2 linked regions of the Tamandua tetradactyla genome follow. The protein of the gene in region 2 interacts with the protein of the main gene of each other region in a biochemical or structural test. Links are inferred from orthologs where the notes say so. Each region holds a gene or a part of one and is shown on either strand. Other genes may lie near its edges.

Evidence for each region.
Region 1: the proteins of SHQ1 (region 2) and DKC1 are reported together in a solved structure, tested with the Homo sapiens proteins (2 studies listed by BioGRID, with this or other methods). The link is inferred for Tamandua tetradactyla from reciprocal best matches to the Homo sapiens genes SHQ1 and DKC1.

What each region holds. Positions count from the first base shown.
Region 1 is NC_135353.1:1,659,061-1,670,895, forward strand, and holds the start of DKC1 (H/ACA ribonucleoprotein complex subunit DKC1), read right to left. Parts: upstream 5,136-11,835; 5' UTR 5,031-5,135; coding exon 5,015-5,030; intron 4,326-5,014; coding exon 4,261-4,325; intron 3,788-4,260; coding exon 3,701-3,787; intron 2,339-3,700; coding exon 2,247-2,338; intron 1,800-2,246; coding exon 1,615-1,799; intron 1,150-1,614; coding exon 1,085-1,149; intron 709-1,084; coding exon 582-708; intron 349-581; coding exon 218-348; intron 121-217; exon of another isoform or gene 1-120.
Region 2 is NC_135341.1:10,922,928-10,934,110, reverse strand, and holds the start of SHQ1 (protein SHQ1 homolog), read right to left. Parts: upstream 5,173-11,183; 5' UTR 4,779-5,172; coding exon 4,636-4,778; intron 1-4,635. UniProt on the Homo sapiens protein: Required for the quantitative accumulation of H/ACA ribonucleoproteins (RNPs), including telomerase, probably through the stabilization of DKC1, from the time of its synthesis until its association with NOP10, NHP2, and NAF1 at the nascent H/ACA RNA.

The sequences.
Region 1 (11,835 bases), on a different chromosome or scaffold from region 2:
GATATAAATGAATAGAACAGTACTTTTCTATCCAACCACTTACCCTAGCCCATTTCAATCTCCCAAAGTTTAATTAACAGAACAGGGAAAGTGCCCTGAACTGAACTCAACACTTTGGAAATTGCCCTGTTCAGAATGTTAAGCAAGTAAAGTTTACTGAAGGGCTGAAAGATAGATTACAATCAGCTCTAAAACTTGTAGCAGCATAAAAGCATACCTTTTCACTCATAACTCCAGAACGAACCCTCCGAAGTTCCTGCATCTGACCTCCAACTCCCAATAACAAACCAAGGTGCACACACAGCGTCCGAATATAGGTGCCAGCCTCACAACTTACCCAAAAGATTCCTAAAACACACACACACAAAAGAAAGTACATATTATTTCATTAAATCACTAGTTGAGAAACCCAAAGTTATTCGCCATCTGAGCCATCGAGTTCAGAGACAACAGACACAGGATACAACTACACAATAAGCTAATAACATCTACTTTTAAAAACAGAATATAATTCTCAAGAATGCATTCCTACTCACTTGTGGTCTATGTTGATTTGGTTCATCACAAACCTAATGACCTACCTAATCTTCTTTCAGGATCGTACTCTATCATTTTGCTCTCATAGATGGTCCGGACTCGGAGCTGCCTCTTTACTGCGGCAATAAGTGGGGGTCGCTGGAAGAGGGCACCTGTCAGAGTTTCTAGGGCCTGAAAATGAACACAAAACTAAATAAAGATTCTCATCACACAAACTTTCAATTAAGACCAAAGAGGGTATTTTCAGAGTTTGAGGACACAATTAAAACACAAAAGGTTTCTTTCAATCATTTAGGATCTAAAATGCCTTTTCCATTTCTGCTTCCTTATTTCTAATATACAGGGATAATTCAGTGCTGATCGAAAACCCCCTCCTCAGAAAGGACATAGCCAGAAAATTCCTCTGCCACCTGCAGCCACCCACACAGGCTGGTTAGGGCAGCTCATTGAAAAAGGTGTAAGAAACCTATGTGAAAAAGAGGCCAAATGTTCATGGGCTTGAAAGACCCAAATGGCCAAAGGGTGCCCTCCCTAGCAATGCACTTACCCTAGAAAGTTGGGTCCCCCCTTCAATAGCATTGTGCAGCCGGACAATTCCAACATACTCTTTGCCTGAAAAATGACAGAAGAGTAGTCAGGTGTGGCCACTAAGTTTTCTGTATTTATATATTCTCAAGCCATTTCCATTTTGTGCTGCTAGAAAAGCAGGCAATTTGACCTCATGTTCCTATTTTTTAACTAAAAAATGATTAAATAAAGGCACTTTAGACAGAAGCAGCAGCATGGAGAAAGAGGCTAGAATAAGGCAAAAGGTACTCTCAGAAAGACCTTCTAGAGTTCTGACTTAATGCCAGGAATGTATCTCCCCAGCTTGATGTACATGTGTAGTACCTGGAACTCCAAGAAAGGGCAGACCCATGCAGATCTGGCAAAGAACAGAATGTACACAGAAACCAATAGAACATTTTGCTTTAGGAATATTTTTTCTTAATGAAGAAATAATTCCCAAGAGCCAAAATGAAGCCAGAAAGGGAAACGTAGTAAAGTACTCACCACCTCCCTCCCTCTTGCACATACCTGCACTCTGTTGTGATTTTACCAAGCGAGTGGCTCGTTCTATGCACACAATTAGACAGCCAGTCACCTTGGGATCCAAAGTACCACTGTGTCCTGTCTTCTCAACCCGAAGTATTCGTCGGATCCAGGCTACCACCTCATGGGAAGAGGGGTTGGAGGGTTTGTCGAGGTTAATGAAACCTGTCCTAGAATGGGGAATTAAAAATATATATATATATATCTTATAACAAAACAAAACTTTTTTTTATTAATTAAAAAAAGAAATAACAAAACAATTAGAAATCATTCCATTCTACATGTACAATCAGTAATTCTTAATATCATCACATAGTTGCATATTCATCATTTCTTAGTACATTTGCATCGATTTAGAAAAAGAAATAAAAAGACAACAGAATAAGAATTAAAATGATAATAGAAAGAAAAAGAAAAAAAAAAACCTATACCTCACATGCAGCTTCATTCAGTACAAAACAAAACTTTTGAAGGATAAAATAGAAATCATCACAGGTACACTATATATTAAGGGGAATGCCATTCAAAGGTACAACTACCTACTTAAAGAACTGATATAAAAATAACATTTCTAAAGGAACAAGAGTTCGAACAGTGCTTGCCCCAGATACAGATACCTGATATAGTCCGCAATCTCCCTCTTCAGAGGATTTGAACCAGAAGGAAGAGGTGTATAGTGTGTTGTCCTTACATTCAGCTTATCAAAATTCTAGAAAGCAACAATACAACACAAAATAAACTTCATGGTTCTATAGTTCTTGTTTTGGAACCATTAACACGTATAAAACGGAAAGTCAGCACCAGCAAGCAACCACGATATAACCCTCAAAGTTCATAACTTGAATTTTTGTTCTTTGTTTTTCATCATCTGCCATGGCAGACTGTTAAGCCTTCTTAAATACAGGAAAAATGACCCACGTTAGTAAGAACAAGGTAGAGCTGATAACTCAAAATTTAATATATTGCTCTAGAAAGTGGTCAGTACTCCGTGGGTACAGAACATAGACTGGGCAAACTTATGGATAAAATACAGAGGAACTTTGACCTTCTTGGGAGGTGGGTAGGAATAACCAAATTTAGGATTATTGGCAATAATGTTTCCAGTAATAACCATCCTGTCCCTGCTTCAGATGCTCTTACCTCTGCTCTTCACAGATCACCCTAGCTGAACTACCTGACTCCAATCCAAGCCCATCTTTCACATTATCCAATTTGGTTTCATCATGGTACTTATCACAAATAGAATTATTTCTTGTGTAACTCCCACACCCTCAATTTTAAGTTCCCCAATAGAGGACTGTGCCTATCACCTTCACCAACATATTCTCAGGGGGCCTACAAAAGAGAAGCAGATGTTGTCTAAATAGCAGAAACATCTAGCCAAGCAGAAATTGACTGAACTACCCTATTTAAAACTAATTAATAGACAATACTTTCTACAGGACACACTAGTTGCCAGGCACTGGAGATAAACATATTTCATGCATTACCTCCTGTAATCCTCAGCAAATCTTCCTAAAATAATTATTGTGAGCAGAAGAGATTAAATGACTAGTCCAAGGTCACACAGCCTGACTGACTCATTGCTCTTGTGCTCTTAAATACAAGAGTAATGTTATTCAAAGTGTGGTCCACAAAGTGTTGTAGGTCCTTAAGATGGATTAAGTAGAGAAAGTTACAGGTAAGTATTTAGAAACTGTGATAGGAGTTTAACATTGCTGTGATATTTTAATTATATTCTAGAAGAGTACTCAGTATACTGGAAATTCAAAAAAAAAATCTGGTCCATTATCTTAGATACCTGGAGGAGCACTGCCTTAAACTAAATCGTTTTGCATTCCCTAGAAGTCAAAGAGTAAGCATTTTTGCTTTCAAGAAATGAAACGCAGTGGAGAAGACTGATGGTACAGAAAGTGGTACAGACAGGGGCTCAAGGACACGCAATGGCCACATGGAGAAGATAAAAGTATGTATGAGATCACGGGAAGTAGCCAAGTGTTGGTTTCGTAACATACTTATACCTTTATTTTGCTGTGTAACAAAGCCCATATGCCTGATCTTGACCACGTACCTTCAACAGCAGGGGCCACTGAGATGTGTCCAACTGAGCCACTTTGGATTCAGGTTTGATAAGAAATTCTTCTACGTGTTGAATTTCCTTTGACAGAACAGAAACACACACTGTTACATCTCTCACCTGATCTTTAGAAATTCCATTACTAGTACAGAAGTATACGCCTTTTAAATAGAAAGCAAGGCATTCTATACTTCTTCACTGGGGCCTCCAAGGGAGAAAGAAAGAGAAGAAGCAGAAACTCCGAAAAAGAAATGAAGTATCACTAAGATAGGTCCAAATGTTTAAAGAAAACAGGAGATGAAGGGTGTGTGGGTGGAGTTGGGAAGAAAGAGTGATAGGGAGATAATCTGGTATAGCCAACTGCAGTTAGTAAACCAGCATGAAACTTAGGGTGGCTAAGGGGGGGGGGGGCATTCTCATTTTCAGTCCCTTGGGATTTCTATGCAAAGAGCATCCAATTCTGGCCCATCTCTTAGATATTTGAAAAACAGTTCTTGAGTTTGTTAGTTAAGTAAAATTTTAGTTTAACCAAAATAACACATATTCCTACTCACAGCTACATCTTCTGGTGCTGACTTTCGGTCCTTCTTCTTCTTATGCTTCTTTGGCAAAATAACTACTAAAAAAGATACACGAGATTTGGAAGTTTCCCCCGAAAATAAAGACATCCAAGTTTAAAACGAAAAAGTGGAAATCGGGGCAGGCGAATACAGATTTTCCATCTAAGAGTAGTGCTGAGGACAAAAGCTATACCATGGTACTCCGCATGGGTTGGTAACTAGCTGGCGGCTGTCGCACGTGTTGGGGCCCCTTCCGGGTCACCACGTGGCCATGGCGGGGCTTAAAAATCGCAGAGGAGCGCTCGCTGTCCCGAAACTTCCAAAGCGTCCATTGGGCTAGCCCTGCCAGCTTGTAGTCTCGGGGACTTTCTTGCACCTGGGAGCTGGCCTCGCGCCCAAAGCCCTCCGGCCCCTTTCTTCCCCACCCGTCCACCCCCCTCCAGCCCGCATCCCGCGGCGCCCGAACCTGGGTGCGGCCAGCACATCTTCTGTTTGCAACCAAGTGCCCTAAGGAGGTCTTCCCGTTAGCGGGGGGCCCGGGCCCCGCAGGGTCACGTCACCGAAAGGGCCTCTAGGTCCTGCGCTCTCCCCGCAGGTGAAGCAACGTGCGGAGCGGGAGGCGAGGCCCGCAAGAGGCCCGGGAGTGGGTCCCCGGCAGTGAGTCACCGACGCCGCTCCCCCGGCTCTCCGAGTCCGCAGAGTTCCCTCTGACCCCGGAGACCCCGGCCCGGCCGTCCGCAGCCCTTACCTTCGGCGTCCGCCATGTTTCCCCGCACAACGTGCGCGCCGCCCGGGCTATCGCGGAGGTAACGACCGCCGAGTCCCGCCGACCGGGTCTCGTCAGTCCGCGCCGACAGGGCCCACCCACCCGCGCGCCGTCCCTTACGTGCAGCGCCGAGGGGCGGGGCGGGGCCCTGGACGCGTGCAGACCGCCTGAGCGGTCCCATTGGCCAATTCGGCCCCTGCGGGCGGCGCGTGCGCGCGGGCGCCTCGGGCCTCGCCCCTCCTTCCACGGCCCGGGCCGGGGGGCGCTTAGGGAGGCGCGCCCGGGGCGGCCCGGAGCCTGTGGGCTCGACCTCTGCGCCCCCCTCGCTCGGTCCAGCCCGCGCGGCCGCCCCTGGGCTGTGTGCGAGACGCTCTGTCAATATTACCTCACCGCTTCCTCGGGCCCACAGCCCCCGTTACAAAATAAGGAAATAAGCAGAGAGGCGGTGAGGCCCCCGCGCCTCACTTGACCGTCGGCCCCGAGCGGCGCTGAAGAGAATGCGAGCCGCGTGGGGGCCCGGGAACAGAAACAAGTGACAGTCATTTTAATAATGCGTCGCACTTAACCCAGTGTATCCGGAATATTACCACTTCAGCGTGTAGTCGGTGCGAAACATTAGAATAAGGTATTTTACATCCTTTATTTTCTTCCCCCGTATCAAGTCTTCGAATCCCTTACGGCACCCCCTTAATTCGGACCAGGCCCGTAGCGGGTGGTCTCGGTGTACTGCGAGGGGTGCTGTGTCAAAGCCACAAGCTGCTAAACTCAGCTGTCCACCTATCCTGCCCGCACCCTAGCACCCTGCTGCGGAAGCTACAAGTCCCGTCGCGCAGACAGTCTCAGGCGGCAGCCCAGCCCTCAGCGCTACCTGGCGCTCCTGCTGACGCCGCACTCTCCCATGAGGCGCTCCTCACCTGTTCCTCCAACCGCCAACACACCTGGCACTCAACTGATGATGACCTGGCTCTATTAAGAACGAAAGCAATCACAAGAGGATCTCCACGCAGGCTTTTCTACCATATCTATCTAACAACCCACCCACCAGTTACCAAAGATATTTTGCCTTTCCTCCCTTATCCCTGAATGAATGAAACACCCATGCCCTTAACTCAGGCCAGCCCCTCCATTTCACCCAGATCCCAAGCCCTTTTGCTTACTCAGTACATTGCTCCAGCAATTCCCCTTTCTGTTTCCCGTATCATCAACTTCTGCCTCTCTACCAAAGTGGGGTTACATTACCTGGGGAGGTGACCTCGCTCCCCCCACCCCACCCCCAGCCAAGCTGTCGAAAGTTTACAGTATTAGGAGGAGTCTGTGGAGGGGATGTAGTTTGGAGTTGCTGGAGAGTCTAGCGATTAGGATGAAAAGGTGAGAGGTTATGCTGTAAGAACACAATCCTAGAGAATGATCTCTTAGTTAGAGCCTGTTCAAAAATGTACCTCCACCCTCCCGCCCTGCGGGCATGAGTTAAAGATTGCTGCCATCACAGGGGCCTGTGGTTCAGAGATCGCAAGTTCAAGATAATATTGCATTCCACCAAGTGGAGAGCAGGTGAACTGCCAGAGGCACTAAGTCCTCAGCAGGGAACTTATAGGGGTTAAGGCAGGGCCCACATGGACCCGGCCAGAAATGCAATGGAGCTCTTGTCCTTGTCCTTGTCCGGATGGTTATCTGCCTGCTAGAGGGGTTGATCTTATCCAATAATCAACATTTCCATTCTCACTCAGCAGCTTCAGAGCTGCCTCTTCTGTGACTTACACACTCTGGAGCTGCAGGAAGGGGGTTTCCCAACTCATGGGCCCCTGGACTAAGGGTGTAATCTACCCATGCAGGTGGGTAGTTAGTGGTGGTGAAGCCCTTCCATCTCTGGTTCACCTGGCTTCATTTTAGGAGCTTGGGGGACAAGTTACAAGCAGGGACACCTACAGGTCCTTTTTTTCCCTCAGTTCTTCACAGCCTTCACTTCCACTGCTGTCGCTAGGGAGCACCTTGCCTCAACTGCTTGTCATGGGAACACAGGTTCAGGGCCTAAGAGAAACTTTCAGCAAATGATCCCTTTATTACTTGCACAGAATAAAGAGTCCAGAAAGGGTGAATAGTCTCCTTGTTTTCACAGCACAAAGAGTCTATGAGCAGGGGAAGAAGTCCCCTCACAGCCAGTCCCCTCTGGGTGGCCAAAAGCTGTTCCAGGTAGGTGTTGACAGATGGCTGTCCCACATGCCCCACTTCATGCCAGAGAAGAGAGACCCACTTGTACTGTTTGAATGTGGGTTTTATTCACCTCAGGAGGAGGGGGCTTGCCACTGAGAATTCCTATTCTGACGGGCATCTGGAGCTGCTGGTTCCCAGTTTCTGGGTGTTAAGTCTGACTAGGTTCTAGAATGTCACACAGTGAAAAAGGAAGTGGAGGGAGCAGAAGCCCATAGGTACAATGGCTACTTAAAGTGTGTTCCTGACTTTCCCAGAGAGGGAGGTGAGGATAGGTGAGGCTGGGGCTGAGGTCACTTAACAGGTATCAGTGACTTCCCTAACAACCCCCTGCAGATGGAGATGGCTGCTTCCAGCAACATTTTACATGTCCATTGGTCCCTTTGGACACTTGCTTCCCTTGGCTTCCAGGACATCCTACTCTCTTGGTTCCCCTTTGACCTCACTGGCCACTCCATCTCAAGCACCTTCCCTGACTCCTCCTTGTCACCCCAAGCGTTTAATGTCAGAGTGCACCAAGGCTTATTCCTTGGCCCTTTCCTTTAGCTGTACCTTGCTGTGTTGGTGATCTCATCGAGGCCCATGTCTTTAAATGGCAATGACTCACCAAATCAGATCCCCAGCCCAGACCTCTTCCCTAATCTCCAAACGTGTCTATTTGGCCTCTTGTTCAATATCTTCATCTGGATATCTAAAAGGCACCTCAAACATGAAGTGTCCGTAACTGGGCTCCTGATACTCTACCCAAACCTAGTTCTCCTCTGGGTTTCTTCATCTCAGTAAGTAGTAGCTCCATTCTTGCAGTTGCACAGACAAAATAGTGTCAGAGTCATCCTCCATTCCTCTCTTTGTTGCACACTCCTCATTCAGTCTGTTAGCAAGCCCAGAATCAGACCGCTTTTCACCACCCTCGCTGCTGTCACTAAGGCCCCTGCTGACATTGTGGCTCTCTGAGATTTTTCCAGTGGCCTCCTGACAGGTCCCCCCATTTCTGCCTTTCCAACCTACTGTGTCTTCTCAATGCAGCAGCCCAAAAGAGTCAATAAACTTAAGTCATATTCTTCCTCTGCTCAAAGCTCCACATTTCACCAAGAGTAAAAGTCAAAGTCCCAATAATAGCTGACAGAATGTGCCCCCAGTTCTCTTTCTGAATTCAGGTCTGGCTACTCGTACCCCCACGTTGGTCTTTTGGCTGTTCATGTCTATTCCAGGCACACTCCCCACTTTCTGGGCTTTTGTACCTGCTCTTCTTTCTGCCTTGCATGCCCTGCCACCAGATATTCACATTCCTCTAACCCCCACCCCACCCCAATATCTAAAGACCTATGACTACAATTCATCTCTACATTCACTAAGGGAACAATTACAAAGACAAATGTAGTAGGAGTAAGCCTGCATATCAAAAGAGTAGTAGAATACTAATATGTAACAGGAAATATCTAGACAATATTAATGCAATTGTAATTTGAAAGTGTTTGACCCACCAGGAAAAAATGGAATTTTATAGGAGGGTCAGGATCTACAGTGGAGGTTTATGTAGAGGTGATGCCTAGACCAAGAAGCCTGCAAGGGAATTATCCCAGACATTTCACAGCGATGGATAGGTTTAAGTGATGACAAACAATTAGTACCTGATTTGTTAGTAACATGCTGTAGGCTAGTAGATTCCCAGTCCAGATTATTAATAGGATTCTGATTGTCTTTTCACCACATCTGGCCAGACAACCAAAACAAAAGTCCTACACTTCTCTGAGAATTATCACATGGGAGGCTTTACTTACAGTACTAAGTCCAGAGTCAGTTAGAAATGTTTCATTTGCAAGTGAAAGAAACTGACTCTTGCTGTCTTAACGGTATATGTATATATGCGGGGGAGGGTTGGAGAGAATGAGAATGAGCATGTGAATGGATGAGTGAACATTGAAGGTTAGCCTCAAAATTGCTTATGGCTCATCACTTACTCCTTTCTTCCACACCACTGTTTTAGTTTGCTAGGCTACTCAAAGCAGATGCCATGAGATGGATTGATTTAATTAACAGGAATTTATTAGCTCACAGCTTGAGATGAAGAAAATGTACAAATCAAGGCATGATCAAAGCAATGCTTTCTTCCCAAACACTGGCTGCCAGCAATCCTTGGCTCCTCTGCCACATGACAAGGGACAGGGCGGCATCTGCTGGTCTCTCCCTTCTCTTCAGGGTTTCATTACTTTCAGCTTCCTGTTTCTATATCATTCCATTTATAAAGGACTCCAATAAGAGGATTAAGATCCATCCTGAATGAGGTGGGTCACACCTAACTAAAGTAGCCTGATCAAAGGATCCTACGTACAATGGGTTCAACCAGAGAAATAGATTAGATTTAAGAACATCTCTTTCTGGGGTACATACAGCTTCAAAGCACATAACCACCAAACAAAGATATATCATTATATGAGACTTTAGTGAAGGACTGGGGCGATAAAAACAGAAAATTACTTTTTTTTTGTTTTTTTGCATGGGCAGGCACCAGGAATCGAACCCGGGTCTCCAGCGTGGCAGGCAAGAATTCTTTCACTGAGCCACCATCACACCGCCCAGAAAATTACATTTTTTTAAAGAAGTAAATTTAAAACAATACCTTCAAATATGCTTTCCCTGTAAAATCGTCATATAGTGTCCCTTAATAGATGCCTTTTAGTTCCTCACCTGCTCTTCTGCCCTCAGGTTCTATAGGGCTATGACTGTTCTTTACAATGTTTCACTGGTCACACATGGTAAGCTCTGTTAGTTGGTGACCCAACAGCCATTTCTTTCCCTTTCTCCCTTTCTAGCAGTTACCCATTTTGTGCAGGTTGGCACTAAACCCAGAATCAGGGATGAATCCTAAATGGTTTAGCCCAGTCATGGTAAACCCTTCCTTTTGTCAGATCCTTGCAGTCACAGTGACCGTGTGACATAGTTGTGGCTAAAGGGTCATAACTGGAAGTCTGCTGGAGGGGGCAGGGTTGGGTAATGGCATAAGGAGCCTGAAATGGCCAAATGGCACTCAGAATTCTGCTGGTACTAGAATCAGCAGGGCCCAGTGTCTTAGGTATAAGAAACTATTCTGAAAAGCAGGTCTTAGTTTACAAGTTGCCAGAATGCAATATACCAGAACTGGAATGGCTTTTAAAACGGAATTTAGTAAGTTACAGGTTTACAGTTCTAAGCCTATGAAAGTGTCCAAAGAAAGGCATCCAGGGAAAGATACCTTAATTCAAGAAAGGCCAATGCATTTGGAACAGCTCTAGCAGCTGGGAAGTCACGTGGCTGGCATTTGCCGATCCCTTGCTCCTGGGTCGGTTGCTTTCAGCCTCTGTTCCTGTGGGGGTTCGTAACTTTGCTTCTCTGGGGCTGGCTTTCATCCTTTGGTTTCCCTTGGCTCTCTCCAGGTTCTGGCTTGCTTAACATCTCATGGTAATGTCTTCTGGGCTCCAAGCATCTCCAAACACCATGTCTCTGTTCTCTAAAGCAACTGTTCTTCAAGTATCTACATCTGCTCTCTCTGTTCGCTCTCCTCTGTTAGCTCAGCTCTGAAGCTTCTGTCAGCTCTGTTGTCTCTGGCTGCATGGATTCTCCTCATGGCTCTCGTCATTCTCTGCTCTCTCAGAATCTCCAGCTCTCTCCCAAATGTTTCCTCTTTTAAAAGATCTAGTAAACTAATCAAGACCCACCTGGAATAGGTGGAGTCACATCTCTATCTAATCAAAAGGTCACACCCACAATTGGGCACATCACATCTCCGTGGATATAATCTAATCAAAAGATTCCAACCTACAGTGTTGAATCAGGATTAAAAGAAACAACTGCTCCAACAAGATTGGATCAGGATTAAAACATGGCTTTTCTGGGATACATAATACCTTCAAACTGGTGTAGCAGGCCATTCAGTTATACCTCTGAGATATGCCATTCCCCACTTGAATTCTTTGTTTTCCAGACCCCTTCTATTCTGGCCATGAGAAAAACGACACCATTTAATGGTCTGTGGTTCAGTGTATGTTCCAAATAGCACTCCAACCTCAGAAGTTATTGCATCCAAACTATCAATATAATAGAATCTTCAAGAGGTCATTTCATCATTGGCCAGATCAATAGGTCCCTACAAAATGTTGTGAGAGTTGTGGAATTGCCATAACAAAAAGACCACATCTGGAGCCTGCCCATGCCAAAAAAAAAAGAGAGACCACATTTGGAAGTGCATCAGAAATTAGAAAAACCTCTTGATTTAGATTATAGTAATCCACAGGCATTCTCAGTTTAGATTTCTATGGAGATATCACAAACAATCTGTGCCAGTTTGAAAGGATTATGTACCCTGGAAAAGCCGTGTTTTAATCCTGATCCATCTTGTGGAGGCAGTCCTTTCTTTAATTCCTGTTCAGCACTGTAGGTTGGAAAGTTGATTAGATTATTTCCATGGAGATATGATTCACCCAATAGTGGGTATTAACCTTGGATTAGAGGGAGATGTGACTCCACCCTTTCCAGGTGGGTCTTGATTAGATTACTGGAATCCTTTAAAATAGGAAGCATTTTGGAGAGAGAAAGAGAGCCATGAAAACTAGGAGAGC
Region 2 (11,183 bases):
TCACTATTGTTTCAGTACATTCCCTTTCCTTACAAATGAGTTATTTATATACCTGGTGCCTGACATAATAGGTGCTCAATACAAATTTACTAATGTGTAAAATATTTTTTTTAAAGAGCCCCAAAAAGGGAAACAATAACGAAGTAACAAAACCAATTACTTATATCAGGCAAATTATTACTTAAAAAAAAAAAAAGGCAGAAAGCAAAGGTGTTTCTCCCAGTTATCATTATGACATACGGGGATTTCCCCCTCTTTCATATCACAGGAAATGAAGTGATTTCCCTGCTTCCAGTTTTACTTTGGTTCAATCAGTCTTCTACTGAGGCCCCAAACGAATTTTTTTAAAACACAAATCTTATTGGCACTTTTCTATCTGGAAAAGCTTCTATCGCTGCTTGATGTTGACCTGGTAACTCAAACTCATCAGATGGTATATCAGCTCCACTCTATTCCATTCTAAACTTAAATTTTTAGCCTCTCCACCTCCCAAACTCCTCCTCCTTGCTTCCTACCTCAACAATATAAAAATCTTGGTAGACCCTAAAAGGTCCACGGCTTCCCACCTTAGCTGCTTTTGACACCAATGTTTCCTCAAGCTACAGTGCATTTTCTAAACCAAGACCCACTTCTAAGACAGCACAAAGAATCATTTTATGAATTAAATTAGTTTATGATGGTTCCAAGCACTAACTTTAGTGTCAAGAAATCTGGATTGAGTCCCAGCCTTATCATTGACCAGCAGTATAACTTTCTCTGGACAAGTTAATTAACTGCTTCAAGATTCATATTCCTTACTAGTTGTGCTGGTTTGAAAGGATGTGTGTCCCTTAGAAAAGCCATGTTTTATTCAAAATCCCATTTTGTAATGGCAGAATAATCCCTATTCAATACCGTATGTTTGAATCTGTAATTAGATAATCTCCTGGAGATGTATTCCAATCAAGAGCAGTTGTTAAAATGGATTGGGGGGGATGTGTCTCCACCCATTTGGGTGGGTCTTGATTAGTTTCTGAAGTCCTATAAGAGGAAACATTTTGGAGAATGAGAGATTCGGAGAGAGCAGAGAATGCTGCAGCACCACGAAGCAGAGAGTCCACCAGCCAGTGACCTTTGGAGATGAAGAAGGAAAACGCCTCCCGGGGAGCTTCATGAAACAAGAAGCCAGGAGAGAAAGCTAGCAGATGGCGCCGTGTTTGCCATGTGCCCTTCCAGCTGAGAGAGAAGCCCTGACTGTGTTTGCCATGTGCCTTCTCACTTGAGTGAGAAACCCTGAACTTCACTGGCCTTCCTGAACCAAGGTATCTTTCCCTGGATGCCTTAGATTGGACATTTCTATAGACTTGATTTAATTGAAACATTTTCTCGGCCTTAGAACTGTATGTAAACTAGCAACTTATTAAATTCCCCTTTTTAAAAGCCATTCTGTTTCTGGTATATTGCATTCTGGAAGCTAGCAAACTAGAACACTAGTAAAGAGATAGGAATAACAGTACCTATCTGTGAGAATGAAATGATAAAGGATCGAGCTTAGTGGCTGGCACAACCAAGTGAGGATTCAGAAAATGTGAGCTATTATTTTTAATCCCTTTCTCCCAAGTTTTATGCACAGACTTAAACACCTACTGCATAAAAGTGAAAAAAATGTTTACAGATCTGTCTCTCTTGCTAGGCTTGCAATTCCTCAAGAAGAGAGACCAAGTTCTACTTATCTTTTGTATACAGTAGCAAACAGTACTTTTTAAAATGGCCTATCTTACATTCTCTTCAATAACACGACTTTGGTTCTTCCCAACGGTGGGGTCTGTGTACCCTCTCCGTAACCGTGTGGGTTTCTGGGACTGTTTTGACCAATATAGCACATCAGAAGTGACACAAAATGATTTCTGAGGTTAGATCATAAAAGGTTACTTAAGTAGGTTCTGCCTTGCTCGCTGGAGGACTCACCCTCGAAGCCTTTAGCCACTGTGTTAGTGCTGCAACTCTCCTGCAGAAGCACAAACTCAAACATGCAGAGACCACATAGGGAGGCCCTGAGACCCATCAGCCACCAGCAGCTTCTGCTCCTGCTATTCCAGGTTGAATAACGACCTGACAATAACTGCATTGAAGGCCTCAAGCCAGAACAGCCCAACCTGACCCAACGACAGCAGGACTGAGAGTAAAATTATTGTTGTTGTTTTATTCCATTAAGTGTGACTGGTTATGCTGCAACAGATCATTAACTAACTGTCCAACAAATGGGAGGTATTAATCTTTATTGAAGGCCTGTTGTTCCAATTATCAGACATGGTAATAAGCACTTTATATGCACATTTCAATTCTCACATCAATTTCTTAAGATCTTTAATATTAACCCTATTTTACAGATTAAGAGACTGAGGCTGAATAATTTGTTCAAAGTTAACAGAACTGTAAGTGTGCTGAGACACAGATGTACCCAATGCCTATGCCTCTGCTACCTGAGGAACAAATGAATCCTCACGTGTGAAGAGTCCTCTTTCAAACTGCTTCGCTTGTATCCTCTTGCTTTGTCTCCAACAAAACTGTTATAAAATGGTTTTTATTTTAAATTCTTTATTTTATTGGTTTTGTGTTTTGTTTTTCAGTCCTATCTCATTTAACCACTCTATTTTACAGGAAAAAGGAAATCAGTCTGCATCATACCAAAGACTATGCTTAAGAACTTCTCTCCGAGCCTCTGATTTCACATCTGTAACATGGGTAAACAACAGAACCTACTTTGTAGGACTGTCCCAAAATCAAATGAGATAATTCACAAAAAGCACTAGCCTGGAGTAAATATTCAATAAATGTTTTTCTACGACCATCCTCTTCCCATTCATCTCTTGGCTTAAATATCTCCTGTTCAGCAAGGGTTTCCCTGATCACTTTATATAAATAATGGGCTTCTTTTATTCTCTATCAGTACATATTCTTCTTTCCATTCATAGCACTTACCACAATTTGTAGTTATGTTTTCTTGTTTATTGTTTTTTTCTCCCCACTAGAATGTAAACTACATGAAGGCAGGACTCTGTCTTGTTCGCCACTATATTCCCAGTACCAAAAACAGGGCTGCCATATACTCTGAGTTCAACAAATAAATTGAAGGAAAAGATGAAAAACAAAATAGGAAAAGTACAGTATATTCAAGTAGGCAGAGTAAGCGAGGGTCTAATGGAAATCTGAGCAAAACCGATTCAGGCACAGTAAAGGAAGCAGCTTGAATGGACGGAAAGTTTGTATTACAACAGTACTTGGATCGGAAGGTAGGCTGGAGTTACACTTGAATGAGAAAGATTAAGAGAATGGATTTCACCTAGTAGGAAAAGGGAAGACAAAGGATTGGCATTGTTTTAGAAAGACTAATCTGACAGTGTCCTCTGTAAAATGGAGGTAATAGCAGTACCTATATCCAAGGATCACCATCAAGGATAAATGAGATAATATGCATACAGCACTTAACTCATAGTTTGCCCACCGCACTAAAGGTGATCAGTAAGTGTTAGCTATTATTGCTGTTATTGTTATGGTTGTGCAAGCAGAAAAACAGAAGTGCTGAAAGTCCCTTACTGAGTCTTAGGGGACAACAACCACATTTAAGAGGTGTATTAGTTAGGGTTCTCTAGAGAAACAGAATCAACAGGGAATACTTGCAAATACAAAATTTATAAAAGTGTTTCACGTGACCGCAGGAATGCAGAGTCCAAAATCCACAGGGGAGGCTGCCAAGCCGACGATTCCGATGGATGGCCTGGATGAACTCTGCAGGAGAGGCTCACCAGCCAAAGCAGGAATGGGACCTGTCTCCTCTGAGTCCTCCTTAAAAGGCTTCCCATGATTAGATTTAGCATCACTAATTGCAGAAGACACTCTCCTTTGGCTGATTACAAATGGAATCAGCTGTGGATGCAGCCGATGTGATCATGACCTAATCCTATGAAATGTCCTCATTGCAACAGAGAGGCCAGCGCTTGCCCAATCAGATAAACAGGTACCACAACTTGGCCAAGTTGACACGTGTCCCTAACCATGACAAGAGGCAAACCAAAAAAAGAAGTAGCAGACAGCAAGAAGGCAGGTGAACCAAGCTAACAGGGTGTCACAGGGACCAAGGAAGGAGGGAATTTCAGGAAGGAGGGCGCTTCAGTCGGTAAACAGAAAGTGGTCTGAGCAGCCAAACGTATCAATGAGTCGGGAGATGATCCAGGATCTCAGCACAGGCTGTCTAGATAGATTAGTAACTTAAACGAAAGGTAATAGAACAAGCCAGAAAGGAACGAAAACTAGGGCGACAGGACAAAAGATGGAAAGGCAGAAGTCCCAAACGCCAGGTTTTAAAGGCCTAAGTCCCAAATGCCAGGTTTTAAGGTGGCTCCTAAGTCTCTTCAGTGTAGGAATTTAAGAAGTGAATGACCTTCTGCAGCACCGAGTATGAAAGCCTTAAAAGAGATCACCTCCTCAGCACAGAAAGAAACTGCGGAAATTCCGGGATAAGGCATTGGTTGAAAACAGAACCGCGTCCTGCAGCTCGCTCGCTCTTCCATCCTCCCTCAATAAGCTATTTTCGAATGGGTGAATGAATTAATCCCCCACATACACTATTCCTAAGGGGAGGCACCCGAAACTCGCCTGAGATAGTACGGCTTGGCGTAGAACTTAAAATCGGCCCCTTCGAAGTAGACATCGAACTCGGAGACGCGAGCATAGGGCACGCGGATGGCGACGATCAGGAAGTCAGAATCCTGGCTGAGGTCGAAAGCGGGTGTTATCATCGCCACGCCACTCGCAGGTGCCCGTGTAGGGCACTCTCACGCCGCGCCTCAAACTCTCCGTGATTTTTCCATGTGCCGGGGTGCGTCCTCTCAATCGCGGTGCTTCCGCCTCCAGGCGGAAGTGCTCTCACGTGAAGCAGGAAGTCCCGCCCAACGCAGATCTCCATAGAGACGGGACGCTATTTTGGGAGAGGTGTTTTCAGAACAACTGGAAAGAAAAGGGGTCATAGCAAGTGGTGATTGGGCGCAGGAGCAGAACCTAGGGGAAAACTTGTGGAAGAAACAGGACAAGAGTCTGCCTTAGACGCGCGAAGCCTCTTTCGAGGTTCTTGGAAATTGTTAATGGCACTGGCTTTGCAGATAGATACATCTGCGTTTGAATCACTTCTCAGCCACTTCCCTTCTTGGGGAAGTTTCTTAACTTCTTTATGCTTCAGATATCTCTTTTTTAACACGAGAATAATACTAAAACTTATCCCCATAGAGATATTGTGAGGTTAACATGAAATAATACTGGCAAACTGTCAACGTTGGAGAGGTCCCAGCAGCAGCGGCAGCGCCGTTACTGTGGTTTTCCGTAGTTCTCACCTGACTTGTCAACAATTCCCCCCTCCGCTCTCCAACCCCTCCCCTCCAACCCTGCCTCCTTTATTTTATTTCAACTATTTCTTGGTCTTTTCTACCGCTTTCTCTCCCCTTCTTAATCTTTTATTTGAATAGGGTTTTCTCTTTTTAAAGTGTCCCTCCTATTAATCTCATTTAATCTATAGTACAAACTCGGAGGAAAACTGAACCCAGAGAAGTTAAGCCACTTATTCATATCATGTATTTTACAATAATCAGAATCCAGGGCTTTTGACTCTTAAACGATGTCAGTGCCTGCCTCGACGGTATGTAGTCCCTCTGTACTTCCCTCCCCCTTCCTTTCTCACTTTTATCCTTACACTTGTCTGAAGCCTCTTTTCTTTCTCTGTTTCCTTATTCTTCTTGTCTGTATATTCTTCCTTTACACTGTATCACTTATATCCTCCCAACACATCTCCCACAAATCTGTTTAACATTCCTCTTCCCCTTTATATTCCCTTTCCCTTGACCTTCCTTCCCTCTAATTTAAAAAATTTCCTGTTATTTCACCAGTAACTACAATAGTTAATTGTGGTATTTATTTCCTATCAGTGGAAAAGGGGTGGAAGTCATCTCCTAGAACAGGACCAGATATTAAGCTCAAAAGCCTTTTCAATCTCTAATTTTTTATGACTCTATGGAAGCGCTCGTGAAACTTAATTAGGCCTCAAAAATAGAAAATAAATTAACAGGAACTAACATTAATTGAATGCTTGTTATGTACCAGCATTACACCAAGTCCTTTTTAATGGTCTCATTTCCCACCCCACCCCACCCGAGACAGCTCTATAAAGTTGGCATTATCACATCTGCCCATGGCTTGCACAGGATAACACAGCTAGAAAGTGGTGTAATGGGAATTAAAACCCAGTTGAGACTGATTTCTGAGTCCAGGTTCTAAACCACCAAAGAATTGATTCCTTATAACATTATCATCGTCCTCTTTGTAGTAGTTTGAAGCTGTTATGTACCCCAAGAAAAGGTTATGTTCTTTTAATCTGTTACTGTTGGTGCAGACCTATTGTAAGTGGGCCCTTTCGATTAGGTTATTTCTATTGAAATGTGGCTTGTCTCATTCAGGGTGGGTCTTAATCCCCTTATTGGAGTCCTCTAAAAGAGATGAAATTAGAAGAAGCCTACATGGTTTCCACAGGAAGCTAAATATAGGGGTGCCATATGATTCTGCAATCCCATTAGTAGGTATATACTCAGAAGAACTGAAAGCAGGGATGGAGAACAGACATTTGTACACTGATGTTTATGGTGGCCTCCATCCACAATGGCCAATGGATGGAGGCAACCCAAGGTTCCATTTATTAATGAGTGGAAGGGAAAACTGGTGTATAGAAATGATGGAATATTGTGTGGCTTCAGAAAGGAATGAAGTCATAAGGCATGCAATGAGGTGAATGAATCTTAAGGAAAGTATGTTGAGAGAAATATGCCAGAAACAAAAGGAGAAATAGTGTATGGACTCATTAATAAGAACTAACTATAATGAGCAAATTTTGAGAAATTTGAGAGCATATGTTACCAGGAGATAGAAAGTGTGCAAAAATTGGGTAATTGATGATTAAGGAGTACAGAATGTTCAATAATGTTCATTGTAAAGGTTCAAAAATGGAAAACACAATTCTGTGTGACAGTAGTACAATACTGTAAATATAATTAACAAAGTGGAGTGTGGATATAGCTGAAAGAGGAAGGCTAGTGTCATGTATGCCACCAGAAGGAAAGCTACAAGATAAAAACTGGGACTGTATAACTTAGCAAAACCCAGAGTGGACAATGGTGGTGGTTAATTGTGTAAACATAAGAGTCCTTACATCACTAGTGCAAACGTGTATCCCTATTACAAGATGTCAATAATAGGGTGTTATATGGGAAAAAATATATAATTAACATAGGCTAAGTTCTATAGTTAACAGTAGCATTGTAATATTGCTCCATTTATTGTAGCAAAGGCACTATACCAAAGCTAAATAATAGGGAGATATAAGGGGTATGGGATTTTTTTTCTTTGGAAGAAATTAGAATGTTCTCATATTGACTAGTGGTGAATGCATAACTGTGATTATACTAAGCCATTGATTGTACACTTAGGATGCATTGTATGGTGTGTGAATAAAACTGTTTTTAAAAAAATAGAGAAGTGCACAGAAAAAAGCCCTGGAGAAGCTAGGAGAGGACCCACAGAAGCTGAGAGAGGAAGCCACTGGAGCCCAGGTGCAAAGGACCAGCAGATGCTGGCTACGTGCCTTCCCATGTGACAGGAGTCCAGATGCCATAAGCCTGTTCTCAGAGATGGTATTCATCCTTTGATGCCCTAATTGGAACATTTCATGGCCTAAGAACTATAAATTATAAATTAATATATCCTCGTAAAAGCCAACCCATTTCTGGTATATTGCTTTCCAGCAACTATAGCAAACCAAAACATGCTTTGTATCACGTTCTGACTTTTCCCAGTCTATATTTAGACTGTCCTGAGCCTTAAAAATGATAGGCAGTTAATATTGACAATGAATCGATGTACATTTGGAATTAGGCCCCCAAAAGGTCTCTTGAGATAGGCTTTTGGCTAAATCATTCCAAATTAGCTTCTTTAGAAGAAATCTTTACATCTACCAAGAAGGAATCTTTATATCTGCTGTGGGAGTTCATTCCTGTAGGTCACAAGCATTAACAAATTGAGAATGAACTTATACTGAAGCTCTGCTATCAACAAGAAATTGAAAGCCCTTCACAAATTAGAGTTGTGTGAATCCTGGATATTTTATTATGTGTTTGCCCACATACACACACATATGAAAGAGTATTTCAATACAGGAAAACAGGCTATATATGGTTCAGTGCTGCTGTTTTATAAAAATATATATCTGCCGCATCACAAAATATTGATAGTTGCAAGCATATAATAGCTTTCTTTCTGTCTTCTTTCTGCAAACAACAGTTCACTTTATTTTTGTATTTTTAATTAGTGACTAATTACACATTAAAAATTCATTTCTTTTTAGTCGTTTTAAGGAGGGTAATGAAATACACCCATATTAATAAAAAATTTCATTTTAACCCTTCTGAAACAATACTCAGTATAAATGGTCTTCTCTATAAGGTATAGCTAGCATAAATGGTCTTCTCCATAAGATGTATCTAGCAAAAATGTTATATCATTTCAACAGAAGCAGAAGCACAGCACAACAAATAGTCTTATTTGAGAAAACCTCATAAAAGTTATAAAATGGAGACATTGTGCTCGTTACCTTGTGTGGTAGTTAGATTCAGTTGTCAATTTGGGCAGGTGAAGGCACCTAGTTCTGTTGCTTTGGACATGAGCCAATGGCATGTGAACCTCATCTGTTGCTCATTACATCTGCAGCTGGCTAGGAGGCGTGCCTGCTGCAATAATGATGTTTAATTGGCTGGTGCTTAAATGAGAGACTCAACATAGCACAACCCAAGCAGTTCAGCATGCTTCATCTTGGTACTCGAAGCTCAGCCCAGGCCTCTGGAGATGCAGAAAGGAATCACGCCGGGGAAAGATATTGGAACCCAGAGGCCTGGACAGAAGGCCAGCAGAGATCACCTTGTGCCTTCCCACGTAAGAACCTCAGTTGAAAGTTAGCTGCCTTTCCTCTGAAGAACTATAGGTTAACTAAACAAATCCCCTTTTATTGAAAGCCAGTCCATCTCTGGTGTGTTGCATTCCAGCAGCTAGCAAACTAGAACACCTTGTTCACTTCGTGCTGATCTTTCTCATTATTTCTTACTAACAATCTCATAATTCTTTAAAGTAAAGTCGACAAATGAAACGACAGGGCCTAGTTGTGTAAAAAATGATCCTTGCTATATATCTTGAGGATTTTTTTGTAAAATTAAAAAAACTCATTCTTTTTTTTTAAAAAATAGAATATTACAGGTAAAATTCCCTTTGACAGCCATCCCAAGTTTGTCCTCCTATATACTTCCCCAAAGGTAACCTCTTTTCATAAGTCGACATATATTTCTACATACTGTTACTTTGTGTGTATGTGTACATGGTTGCATTATCATGCTATAAATGTAATCCTGCAACATGCCATTTTTTGAAACTTTAGTTCATTTTTGAGATATGTCTATGTTGATTCATAGAGTCAACTGATTTCATGTTTCTAGATATAGACATCGCTTGTGAATAAAGGCACTATGTCAACATTCCATGTTAGCTCTGCAATAGGGGGAAAACAAGCAGGAATTAAATTTTTCTTCTCCATCTCCTTCTTCGATGCTGCAGTGTCCTTTTTTTGTTTTTCCATTTCCTTCAAGCTTACTTCTGGATGGCTTTTCACCAATTTAAAAATATTTTCTTCCATGGTCAAGTTATTGAGGACAAGAATATAACCTATCATCTTTGATTATATCAAATTAGTCTCTCTCTGATCTAACAAGCTTGATTGTGATTCTCCAGTGTATTAGTTAGATTCAGTTGTCAATTTGGCCAGGTGAGCATACCTAGTCTTGTTGCTGAGGACATAAGCCAATGGTAAGTGAACCTCATCTGTTGCTAATTATATCTGCAGTTGGCTAGGAGGCATGTCTGCTGCAATGAGTGACTGGTTTGACTGAATTGGCTGGTGCTTAAATGAGAGAACGCAACGTAGCACAGCCTAGCAGCTCATCATTCCTCACCTCAGCACTAGCAGCTCAGCCCAGGCCTTTGGAGATGCAAAAAGAAGTCACCCCGGGGAAAGTTGTTGGAACCCAGGGGCCTGGAGAGAAGACCAGCAGAGACCATCTTGTGCCTTCCACGTAAGAAAGAACCTCAGTGGAAAGTTAGCTGCCTTTCCTCTGAAGAACCAACAAAATAAATCCCCTTTTATTAAAAGCCAATCGATCTCTGGTGTATTGCATTCGTCAGCTAGCAAACTAGAACAGAGTTGGTACCGGAGAGTGGGGTGCTGCTGCGGTTTGCAAATACCAGACCTGTTGGAACGATGTTTTGGATGGCTAAGGGGAAGACTTTGGAGGAACTGTGAAGAGATTGATGGAGAAGTCCTGGAGTGTTTGAAGACACTGTTGGTGTAAATGGAACTACTACTAATCTTGACAAAGGAGGACACAAAAGGGAAAAAATTGGAGTTTGCAGAGTGAGAACCATGGAAGCTCGGGTCTGAAGCCAAGAAACCTTGGCCAGGAGAGTGGACCCACCCATATACAGGGAGAGGGTGAGTTTACCCTGAAGGGCGAGAATGAGTCTCCCCTCTCATTGCAGTGGACTAGTTGTTCAGCCTCGGGTCTTGGAAAAGGCATAGCACGCTCCTTGGAGGACTGGGAGAGCCTGGTTGCCACCATGTGGAGGGGTTGAGCGTGTGCCCCAGAAATGGCAGAGAGCCCAGGGGTGGCCCTGATGCCTGGAGAGAGTGGAGCCCAGAGGTGGTCTCCTCGATGTTCCCCGAGGTTGATTTGGAAAGAGGCCGGCCACTGCATAGGCCCTTGGAAGGGGTGGGACTGCCACTTTCTACAGCCGAAGGATAAATGACTTTCAGACTTGAAAATCCAATGGTGTTTGCCTTCAGGTTTTCCTTCTAGTTTCTCCCTATGGATCCAGTGTTTATCCTCCTTTGCATATTGGCATAAGATAACTTGTTTTGAGATTCACAGGCCCACAGCAAGAAGAGAAGTTTTTGCACCTGTTTAAGGTGAGGCTTGAAGTTGCCAAGTTGACAAGGGGTGGACATGTATTAGTTAGATTCAGTTGTCAACTTGGCCAGGTGAGCATACCTAGTCTTGTTGCTGAGGACA